Linked DNA regions of Anolis sagrei. The protein of the gene in region 3 purifies or fractionates together with the protein of the main gene of each other region. This does not show direct contact. Links are inferred from orthologs where the notes say so. Each region holds a gene or a part of one and is shown on either strand. Other genes may lie near its edges. The genes, in order: RAB14, RAB9A and GDI1.

Region 1 (3,757 bases), on a different chromosome or scaffold from region 3:
CCATAGCGCCATATAATCTAGTTCAATGTGGGTTTTATACAGCATTGTGAAAGGGGCTTGAGGGCTCTTCTACACAGCCATATAACCCAGAATATCCAGGCAAATAATCCATAATATCTGCTTTGAACTGGGTTATCTGAGTCCACACTGCCAGATAATCCAGTTTAATGCGGATTTTATACAGATGAGTGAAAGGGGCTTCAGGCCCTTCCACACAGCCCTATATCCCATAATATAGGGTTATCTGAGTGTGAGATTTTCTGCCTTGATATTCTGAGATATAGGCTGTGCGGAAGGACCCTCAGATAACCCAGTTCAAAGCAGATATTGTGGGATTTTCTGCCTTGATATACTGGGTTATAAGGCTGTGTGGAAGGGCCCTCAGATAACCCAATTCAAAGCAGATATTCTGGAATATAGGCTGTGTGGAAGAGCCCTCAAATAACCCAGTTTAAAGCAGATATTGTGGGATTTCTGCCTTGATGTTCTGGGATACAGAGCTGTGTGGAAGGACCGGATTTCTGCCTTGATATACTGGGTTATATGGCTGTGTGGATGGTCCTTCACATAACCCAATTCAAAGGAGATATTGTGGATTTTCTGCCTTGATATTCTGGAATATAGGGCTGTGTGGAAGGGTCCTAAGATAACCCAGTTCAAAGCAGATATTGTGGGATATTCCGCCTTGGTATTCTGGGTTATATGGCTGTGTGGAAGGGTCCACAGATAACCCAGTTCAAAGCAGATATTGGGGGATTTCTCTCTTGATATTCTGCGATATAGGGCTGTGTGGAAGGGCCTTCAGATAACCCAGTTCAAAGCAGATATTGTGGGATTTTCTACTTTGATATACTGGGATATTCTGCCTTGACATTCTGGGTTATAAGGTTGTGTGGAAGGTCCATCAGATAACCCAGTTCAAAGCAGATATTGTGGGATATTCTACTTTGATATACTGGGATATTCTGCCTTGACATTCTGGGTTATAAGGTTGTGTGGAAGGTCCATCAGATAACCCAGTTCAAAGCAGATATTGTGGGATATTCTACTTTGATATACTGGGATATTCTGCCTTGACATTCTGGGTTATAAGGTTGTGTGGAAGGGCCTTCAGATAACCCAGTTCAAAGCAGATATTGTGGGATTTTCTACTTTGATATACTGGGATATTCTGCCGACATTCTGGGTTATAAGGTTGTGTGGAAGGGCCATCAGATAGCCCAGTTCAAAGCAGACATTGTGGTATTTCTGCCTTGATATTTTGAGTTATATGGTTGTGTGGAAGGGCCATCAGATAACCCAGTTCAAAGCAGACATTGTGGGATTTTCTGCCTTGATATTCTGGGATATAGGACTGTGTGGAAGGACCCTCAAATAACCCAGTTCAAAGCAGACATTGTGGGATTTTCTGCGATATAGGGCTGTGTGGAAGGGCCATCAGATAACCCAGTTCAAAGCAGATATTCTGGCATATAGGGATGTGTGGGAGGACCCTTAGCTAACCCAATTCAAAGCAGATATCTTGGAATTTCTGCCTTGATGTTCTGGGATATAGGCTGTGTGGATGGGCCCACAAATAACCCAGTTCAAAGAGATATTGTGGGATTTTCCGCCTTGATATTCTGGGATATAGGGCTGTGTGGAAGGACCAGATTTATGCCTTGATATACTGGGTTATATGGCTGTGTGGAAAGTCCTTCACATAACCCAATTCAAAGCAGATATTGTGGATTTTCTGCCTTGATATACTGGGTTATAGGGCTGTGTTGAAGGGCCATCAGATAACCCAATTCAAAGCTGATATTGTGTGATTTTCTGCCTTGATATTCTGGGATATAGGTCTGTGTGGAAGGACCCTCAGATAACCCAGTTCAAAGCAGATATTGTGGAATTTCTGGCTTGATATTCTGGGTATATGGTTGTGTGGATGGGCCATCAGATAACCCAGTTCAAAGCAGATATTGTGGGATTTTCTGCCTTGATATACCTGGTTATATGGCTGTGTGGAAGGGCCCTTGATTACTTGAGTCCACACTGCCATATAACCCAGTTCAATGTGGATGCTACACAGCTGTGTGGAAGGGGGTTTCCAGTCAAGGAACACGAAAGGATCCCTCTCCCGTGTGTCATCGCATGCCTGTGTCCTTAATGGCATAGCCCAGCAGAGGCAGGCGGGGGTGGGAGGCTTCGGCGAGGCCTAGGCCTGGAAGGCCAAACAGCAAGAGGCCTCTGGCGGAATGGGCGGGGCCAAAGGGACCCCCGCCCCGTTGCCAAGCAACGCCACAAGGGCAGCAGCAGCTAGGCCTCAGGCCTCGGCCTCGATTTCTCACCCGGGTCCGAAGGAATGGCGGTGACTGGGCAGCTTGGCTCCGCTTTGCGACGGCGACCGGCCTCTCCCCTTCTCGCTCCTCCCTTTGGGAAACCAGCCAGCCTCCTCTTTCTCCTTCTCTTAACTCTTCTCGCGCTGAGTTTCCCCCTTTCCGGCCGCCACTTCCAGGTTTTTCTCCCCCTCACAGAGACACACACAGACTTTATCCAAGATGGCGGCTGCCCCCCTCACACAGGTTTCCCCGCCCACTTCTGGGAGGGAGGGGCCGGAGCGGCGAGAGAGCGCCCGCCTCCCAAATGGGAAGGGGTCAAGATTTGAAGCGGGCGGAACGCGAGAAACAAGAAAAGTGGGAAAGGAGGCGGGGCTGAAGGGTGATTGGCACCGGAGGGGGGAGGGGCCAAGGAGGGTGTTGTTGTCAAGGGGTGTGGCATGCAGAGGGGTTTCTCTCTTTTTGAGGCTGGAGTGCGCCTGCGCAGAATTCGTGGGACCTCTATGCGGAAGGGCGGGGGGGCAGGCCGGAGAGTGCATTCAAAGCGCATGCGCCTTAGAGGAAGGGGAGAAAAGAAGTGGTCTCGCGGCGAGCAGGGCTCCAAACATCGCGAGATCTTAAAGCGGGCGGGCTTTACAAATGTCTGTCAGCGGAAGCCGACCAATAGGGTTCCAGAATAGAAAAAAGTCTCCACCCACCTTTTTAGTCTTTTGTGTTTTGAGCACATTGGAAGGGGAATTGCAACATAAAATGATATAAAATAATATATTTATGTATTTATATGCATATAACAATATATTAAATTATTAGCATAGTACAATATCAGTATTATATATTTCTATATTGCACTGTACCATTATATTCTAATATTATTAGTAATATTACATGTAATATAAATATATAATCATAATATCACATTATTAGTAGTAGTATTATATTGTAGTACATTATAATATAACTATATTATATTATTATATTATATTATTAGCACAGGAGACCTCTGCCATACAATATATTATATTATTAGCATAGTACAATATCAGTATTATATATTTCTATATTTCAGTATACCATTAAATTGTAATATTATTAGTAATATTACATGTAATATAAATATATAATTATAATATCATATTATTAGTAGCAGCAGCATTATATTGTACTACATTATAATATAAATATATGTATTTATATTATATTACATTATATAATAATATATTATATTGTATTATTAGTACAGGAGACCTCTGCCATACAATATATTATATTATTAGCATAGTACAATATCAGTATTATATATTTCTATATTGCACTGTACCATTATATTCTAATATTATTAGTAATATAGTCCAGTCATCCCTGACTGGACTGCCGCGTCCAGTGGGGTCACCACCCTGCGGCCAAAAAAGAAAAATGAACTTCGGTACGTGGAACGTACG
Region 2 (3,757 bases), on a different chromosome or scaffold from region 3:
ATACACTTTGATTGTAGAGGAACTATAAATCCCAGTAACTACAACTCCTAAATGTCAAGGTCTATTTCCCTTGAACTCCATCTGTGTTCCTAGTTAGGCATATGGTATATTTGTGCCAAGTTTGGTCCAGATCCATCATTGTTTGAGTGCTCTCTGGATGTAGGTATACTACAACTCCCAAACTCAAGGTAAATGCCCATCAAACCCTTTTAGTGTTTTCTGTTGGTCATGGGAGTCCTGTGTGTCACCTTTGGTTCAATTCCATCATTGGTGGAGTTCCGAATGCTCTTTGATTGTAGGTGAACTATAAATCCCAAGAACTACAACTCCCAAATGACAAAATCAAAATGTTTTTGAGTGAAGGGCAAACATTGGGTTGTTAGGTGTGTGTTGTCCAAATTTGGTGTCAATTCCCCCAGTGGTTTTTGAGTTATGTTAATCCCACAAACGAACATTACATTTTTATTTATATAAGACTAGCCATTCCCTGCCACGCGTTGCTGTGGCCCACTCTGTTGGTTATGGGGGTTCTGTGTGGGAGGTGTGGCCCAATTCCATCGTTGGTGGGGTTCAGAATGCTCTATGATTGTAGGTGAACTACAAATCCCAGCAACTACAACTCCCAAATGTCAAGTTTCTATTTTCCCCAAACTCCACCAGTGTTCACATTTGGGCATATTGAGTATTCGTGTAGAGTTTGGTCCAGATCCATCATTGTTTGAGTCCACACTACTCTCTGGATGTAGGTGAACTACAACTCCCAAACTCAAGTTCAATGCCCACCAAACCCTTCTAGTCTTTTCTGTTGGTCATGGGAGTCCTGTGTGTCACCTTTGGTACAATTCCATTATTGGTGGAGTTCAGGATGCTCTTTGATTGTAGGTGAATTATAAATCCCAGGAACTACAACTCCCAAATGTCAAAATCAAAAAAATTTGAGTGAAGGACAATCATTGGATTGTTAGGTGTGTGCTGTCCAAATTTGGTGTCAATTCATCTAGTGGTTTTTGAGTTCTGTTAATCCCACAAACTAACATTGCATTTTTATTCAGATAGATAGATAGATAGATAGAAGATTGCAATTCACACTTGCCTCAAACAGGGAAGAGTTCTTTCTCCAAGCGTGGACATTATTCCACAGATATATAAACCCCACTTGCCTAGTTTCCACAGACCTCACAACCTCTGAGGACGCCCGCCATAGATGCAGGCGAAACGTCAGGAGAGAAGGCTACCATACTGTTCGGAAAACTCACAGCAACCCAGTGATTCCGGTGAATGCATTAATTCTACCGTAGACGCAGGCTCAGTATCAAAGGCGCTGCCAAATCCTGATCTACCAGAGACCGGTGAAAGAGAGAGAGAGAGCCGTCCACAAAGTGAGCCTGAAGGGAAGCCCCGCCCCTCGGCCCATCCTCCCCTAAACGAGGCGAAGAGGCGGCCCCGCCCGCGCCCGTGGTCACGTGAGAGGGTCAGCCCCGCCCCCATGGCGCAGACTTCTCCGCCGCCATGTTGTTTCTCCCCCTCCTTCGCAGGCCGGTGCTTCCTCTCCCTCTCCCGGAAAGGTGAGCGCCTCGTCCCACTCGTTGACCCGCGTTCCCTTTCGGCCTTGACTGGAAAGAAACAGAAGTGAGTGGGAAGTCTTGTGGGGCCGGGGGAGGAGCGGGTCGAGGGAAGCCTCCGAGGCTGCGGCGCAATGGGCCAGCTGGAGTGTTTGGCCTGAAGAGAAGGAGAGCCCTCTTCTCTTGCTTGCCTACAGTGTGTATACCAGGCCTGGGCAATCCTGGGCCTTCCAGGTGTTTTGGACTTCAACTCCCACTATTCCTAACAGCCTCAGGCCCCTTCCTTTTCCCCCTCAGCCGCTTAAGCGGCTGGGGGGGGGGGGGAAGGAAGGGGCCTGAGGCTGTTAGGAATGGTGGGAGTTGAAGTCCAAAACACCTGGAAGGCCCAAGATTGCCCAGGCCTGGTGTATAAGGTGAATACAAAACATAAGTGAATATAATGCCTACTTGGGTCCCATCTCTAAGATGTCTCATTGTGTTTAAGAAAATACAGTAAACTCTCAATTAACTGGCATCCATGGGGAATGCTAGATGCTGGATAAATGTAACTTATGGTTCTTAGGGAGCTATTATTAAAAACAGCCTTAATTAATGCTATGCCGTAACCATCAATTCTGCATTGACTCGGTATTAATTTAGAAACGTGGCACTTAAAAGCCAATTAGGTCAAACACAAACTTAATGAAACACAATTTTACTGTATTATAGAAACAGCTTTATGAATGCTGCTTTAAAAGTCAAGACAGTAATTAAAGAACAACACTCAGAAAACAGGAGAATTCCAGACAGAAAAGAATCAGGGCCAGCTAACACCTAACAAAGGATTCCCCCCAGGCAGTAAACAACCAGTCCTTGAATCTGCAAGACCATTCAATGCTAATCAAGGTGGGCAATTGCTACATTAACACTTGCCTCAAATAGACAATAGTTCTCACACGTTCTCCCTCCCGGGACTTTCCACAGATATATAAACCCCTCTTGCTGAGTTTTCAGCACACCTTGCAACCTCTGAGGATGCCTGCCATAGATGTAGGCAAAATGTCAGGAGAGAATGCTACTGGCATGTGGCCATATAGCCCAGAAAACTCGCAGCAACTCAGTGATTCTGGCTATGAAAGCCTTCGACAACACAGCTTTAAAACTTTGGGTTGTTTTTTTTTTTTTTGCTAGTTGCTTCAGTGTTCTGGTTAACTGAGACTTTACTGTATTCCAAAATCCCACATAAGTTTGGCATTTTGAATAAGGGATACTCAAGCTGTCCTAGTTACACATTTCAGCATTGCAAGAGATTGGACTAGATGGCCCTTTCCACTCTTAGAATCTGTGATTGTATTAGAGGCGGAGGAGAAAATAAGTTTTTTTCCGGTGTGATTGTTGCCTTTGGTCTCTACACAAAGATGAATGCTTTCCTTCTGTGCCAGTTAACTTCCCTTCTAGGAGTGAGGGGCTGGAGCTGCCGATCTACCTTGTCTGTTTTCCTTCCGGACTCACAGAAGTGGTGTGATTAAAGATCCCGTGATGCTGAGGCCGAGAGGCTGTTCAGTGGAGAAATTGCGTCTCTTCTATGCTTCTCAGCTGGCATGTGACCAATTTCTCTTCAGGGCAGTTTCTCAGAACTGATTAAAAATCACTGGACTGTCAGGGGACAGCTCCATTTCTTATGTATATCGCCTTTGTCTTCTTTCCTTTCTAGCTTCTGTCATGTAGAAAAACAATCTCTCTTGAAAAAGAAAATCCTGAATTGAGCTTTTTGCTTTGCTCCTTTTCCAGGGTTTATTTGGTATTCTAGTGAAGATAAGCAAATTGGAGTCTGTGTTTTTCCAGCTACCTTTGTGTACCAAGCGGGCACAAACACAAAAGGCACCTCATTAAGAAATGCCAAGTGACATAATATATTAAGTCTAACTTGTATAGCTGTAATAGATTTGACTTTTTGTTGGGAATTCAGCATTCTTATAAGGCAGAACAGCAAAAGATAGGTTTTCCTCACAGAAGATAAACTTCCCTTATGTACAGCAATGCATAAAAGTAATTATTATCTGTATAGAAATTGTGCTTTGCCATGTATTTGAAATAGAAGCTTCCCAACATGTAAAGGACCACACTGAACTTTGTTGAACTGAAATTCTTGAACACAGTAACTGAACATTTGTGGTTTCCTTGACACAGATGTATAGTTCTAACAGGGTGGGGAT
Region 3 (3,757 bases):
GGGCAATTGGCAGCACTGAAATAAGCACAGAAGGAAACACTGTCTGCTACACAAGGATTGTTATCTTAAAGACAAGGGATGGGTTGGAAATAAGAAGGATCTGGCCAAAATGTTGGAAGGAAGAGAAGAGAGTGAAGGGAAATAAGGAAGGGGAGGATGAAAGTAAAGAAGGAAAAGAAGGGAGGGAGGGAGGGAAGGAAGGACGGACGGAAGGAAAGAAGGAAGGAGAGAGAAAGAGGCTTTGCAATTGGTACCCAGACATTGAGGATGGATGGAGGGTTGCATCAGAGGAGCTGCAATGGGGCCAAACCCATTTCCATTAGGAGAACAGAGCCAATGAGGTGGAAATCCACATACACAGCATGGAAGGACAATTATTATTATTATTATTATTATTATTATTATTATTATTATCATCATATTATTATTATTTATATTGCAGGAGGAATAAGGAAGTGGGTGCTTGGAAAAATAAAAAATGCAATGCACGATCCACCATCCCATTGCAATACAAATAATCCAAATAACAATTATTATTTATATTGCACGAGAAATAAGGAATAAAAAAATATAAGGCACCATTCCCACCATTCCATTGTAATAATAATAATATTATTAATGTATATTGCAGGAGAAATAAGGAAGTAGATGCTTGGAATAAATAAATAAATAAATGCACCATCTCCACCATCCCATTGGAATGCATGATCTATCATCCCACTGCAATATAAATTATTATTAATAATAATATTGCAGGAGAAATAAGGAAGTGGGTGCTTGGAAAAAATATAATAATAAATGCACCATCTCCACCATCTCATTGCAATATAAATAATAATACAAATTATTATTATTATTATTATTATTATTATTATTATTAGAAACACAACAAGATGAGTCCACAGCAGACACTCTGCTGGCTGTTGTTATTATTATAATCACTATCATTTATATTGCAGAAGAAATAAGAAAATGAGTGCTTGGGGAAAAAAAATAAAGGCACAATTTCCACCATCCTGTTGCAATATATTATTATTATTATTATTATTATTATTATTGCAGGATGATTAAGGAAATTGGTGCTTGAAAAAAAATAAAAATAGATGCCCCATCTCCACCATTCCATTGTAATGCACGATCCACCATCCTATTGTAATAATAATAATAATAATATATTGCAGGAGAAATAAGAAAGTGGATGCTTGGAAAAATAAAAAAACAGATGCCCCATCCCCACCATCCCATTGCAAAATAAATAATACGAAGTATTATTATTATTATTATTGCAGGAGGAATATGGAAGTGGGTGCTTGGAAAAAAAACAAAAACAGATGCCCCATCCCCACCATCCCATTGCAATATAAATAATACAAATTATTATGATGATTATTATTGCAGGAGGAATATGGAAGTGGGTGCATGGAAAAAAATAAAAAATAGATGCCCCCATCCCCACCATCCTATTGCAATATAAATAATACAAATTATTATTATTATTATTATTATTGGAAAAATAAAAACTGATGCCCCATCTCCATAATCCGATTGCAATATAAATTATTATTATTATTATTATTATTATTGCAGGAGGAATATGGAAGTGGATGCTTGGGAAAAAACAAAAACAGATGCCCCATCCCCACCATCCCATTGCAATATAAATAATACAAAGTATTATTATTATTATTATTATTATTATTGGAAAAATAAAAACAGATACCCCATCTCCATAATCCCATTGCAATATAAATTATTATTATTATTATTATTATTATTATTGCAGGAGGAATATGGAAGTGGGTGCTTGGAAAAAAATAAAAAAAAATAGATGCCCCATCCCCACCATCCCATTGCAATATAAATAATACAAATTATTATTATTATTATTATTATTATTATTATTGGAAAAATAAAAACTGATGCCCCATCTCCATAATCCGATTGTGATATAAATAATTATTATTATTATTATTATTATTATTATTATTATTATTGCAGGAGGAATATGGAAGTGGGTGCTTGGAAAAAAATAAAAAAAATAGATGTCCCATCCCCACCATCCCATTGCAATATAAATAATACAAATTATTATTATTATTATTATTATTATTATTGGAAAAATAAAAACTGATGCCCCATCTCCATAATCCGATTGCAATATAAATTATGATTATTATTATTATTATTATTATTGCAGGAGAAATATGGAAGTGGGTGCTTGGAAAAATAAAAATAGAAAGATGCCCCATCCATCCCCATCCATCCCATTGCAATGCAAGGTCTCCCCCTCCCCATTGCATCAAGGAAGGGCGACGCTGCATCCTGCCTGCAATGGAAGGGAAGGGAGGCTGGGATGCGGCGGTGGCGGAGGAAAAGGAGTCCCCACAGGCGGGCCGCCCCTGGCCCTTCCCCGGTGAGACTCACGGTCAGGCCGGTGCCCAGCACGATCACGTCGTAGGCCTCGTCCATGGTGGTGGTAGTGGTGACGGTGGTGGTCCCGGCCGCGGAGCCCCCGCCCCGAGCGGAGCCAAGATGGAGCCGCACCACCGCGCCGAGCGGATCACCCCGCCGGGGAAAATAAACGAGTCCCAGAGCCGAGAGAGAAAGCAGAGATCGCTCCGCCTTGGAAAAGGGAGGGTGAACTGGATCCTCGCGCCCCTTTTTCCAAAGGAGGCGGATGGAGAAAAGGGCGAGGGGTGGGAGTGTGCCCCTCCGCCGTGTTCTGGCCACAGCCTCAGCGCAGAGAGAGGATGGGAAACGAGTTCCGGCCCCTGTTTCTCCCTGTCATCAGCTGAGGGCAGGAGGAGGAGGGGGCTTGTCAGGCCTGCCTTCACCATGGAAACCTCACTGCAAGGATGGGTTCTAGTATATGCATACATCTCTGTGTGTATCTATCTCTCTCTCTATCTCTCTCTCTCTCTATACATATATATAGAATCATAGAATCAAAGAGTTGGAAGAGACCTCATGGGCCATCCAGTCCAACCCCCTGCCAAGAAGCAGGAAAATCTCATTCAAAGCACCCTCAGCAGATGGCCATGCAGCCTCTGTTTAAAAGCCTCCAAAGAAGGAGCCTCCACCACACACCGAGGCAGAGAGTTCCACTGCTGAACAGCTCTCACAGCCAGGAAGTTCTTCCTCATGTTTAAAGGCCTCAAAATATGGAGCCTCTACCACAAACCAGGGCAGAGAGTTCCACTGCTGAACGGCTCTCACAATCAGGAAGTTCTTCCTCGTGTTCAGATGGAATCTCCTTTATTTATTTATTTAGACCATTTCTACCCCGTCCTTCTCACCCCTGAGGGGGGACTCAGGGCGGCTAACGCAGGCAACAATTCAATGCCAACAGTATCCATTTATTTATTTATTTATTTGTCGTGTCAGAGCAACCAGTCAAATTATATTACATTTCTAACAGAACAAAGCAAACAAACAGACAAAATACAAAATTTGTGAGTTTAGTAGTTTGATTAAATGTCCTTTGACCAGTATCGGGCCACTTGGAATGCCTCTGGTGCCTCTGGTGTTGCTCCAAGTAAGAAGGTCCTCCATTGCGCATGTAGCAGGGCTCAGGTTGCATTGCAGCAGGTGGTCTGTGGTTTGCTCTTCTCCACACTCGCATGTCGTGAATTCCACTCTGTAGCCCCATTTCTGAAGGTTGGCTCTGCATCTCGTGGTGCCAGAGCGCAGTCTGTTCAGCGCCTTCCAAGTCGCCCAGTCTTCTGTGTGTCCAGGGGGGAGTCTCTCATCTGGTATC

What was found.
Region 1: the proteins of GDI1 (region 3) and RAB14 purify together in Homo sapiens (affinity purification with mass spectrometry; 3 studies listed by BioGRID and IntAct, counting the BioPlex papers as one, with this or other methods). This does not show direct contact. The link is inferred for Anolis sagrei from reciprocal best matches to the Homo sapiens genes GDI1 and RAB14.
Region 2: the proteins of GDI1 (region 3) and RAB9A purify together in Homo sapiens (affinity purification with mass spectrometry; 3 studies listed by BioGRID and IntAct, counting the BioPlex papers as one, with this or other methods). This does not show direct contact. The link is inferred for Anolis sagrei from reciprocal best matches to the Homo sapiens genes GDI1 and RAB9A.

Annotation. Positions count from the first base shown.
Region 1 is NC_090031.1:8,552,849-8,556,605, reverse strand, and holds the start of RAB14 (ras-related protein Rab-14), read right to left. Parts: upstream 2,595-3,757; 5' UTR 2,331-2,594; intron 1-2,330.
Region 2 is NC_090023.1:91,719,280-91,723,036, reverse strand, and holds the start of RAB9A (ras-related protein Rab-9A), read left to right. Parts: upstream 1-1,457; 5' UTR 1,458-1,565; exon of another isoform or gene 1,566-1,629; intron 1,630-3,757. UniProt on the Homo sapiens protein: The small GTPases Rab are key regulators of intracellular membrane trafficking, from the formation of transport vesicles to their fusion with membranes.
Region 3 is NC_090022.1:174,395,130-174,398,886, forward strand, and holds the start of GDI1 (rab GDP dissociation inhibitor alpha), read right to left. Parts: upstream 2,653-3,757; 5' UTR 2,470-2,652; coding exon 2,425-2,469; intron 1-2,424. UniProt on the Homo sapiens protein: Regulates the GDP/GTP exchange reaction of most Rab proteins by inhibiting the dissociation of GDP from them, and the subsequent binding of GTP to them. Promotes the dissociation of GDP-bound Rab proteins from the membrane and inhibits their activation.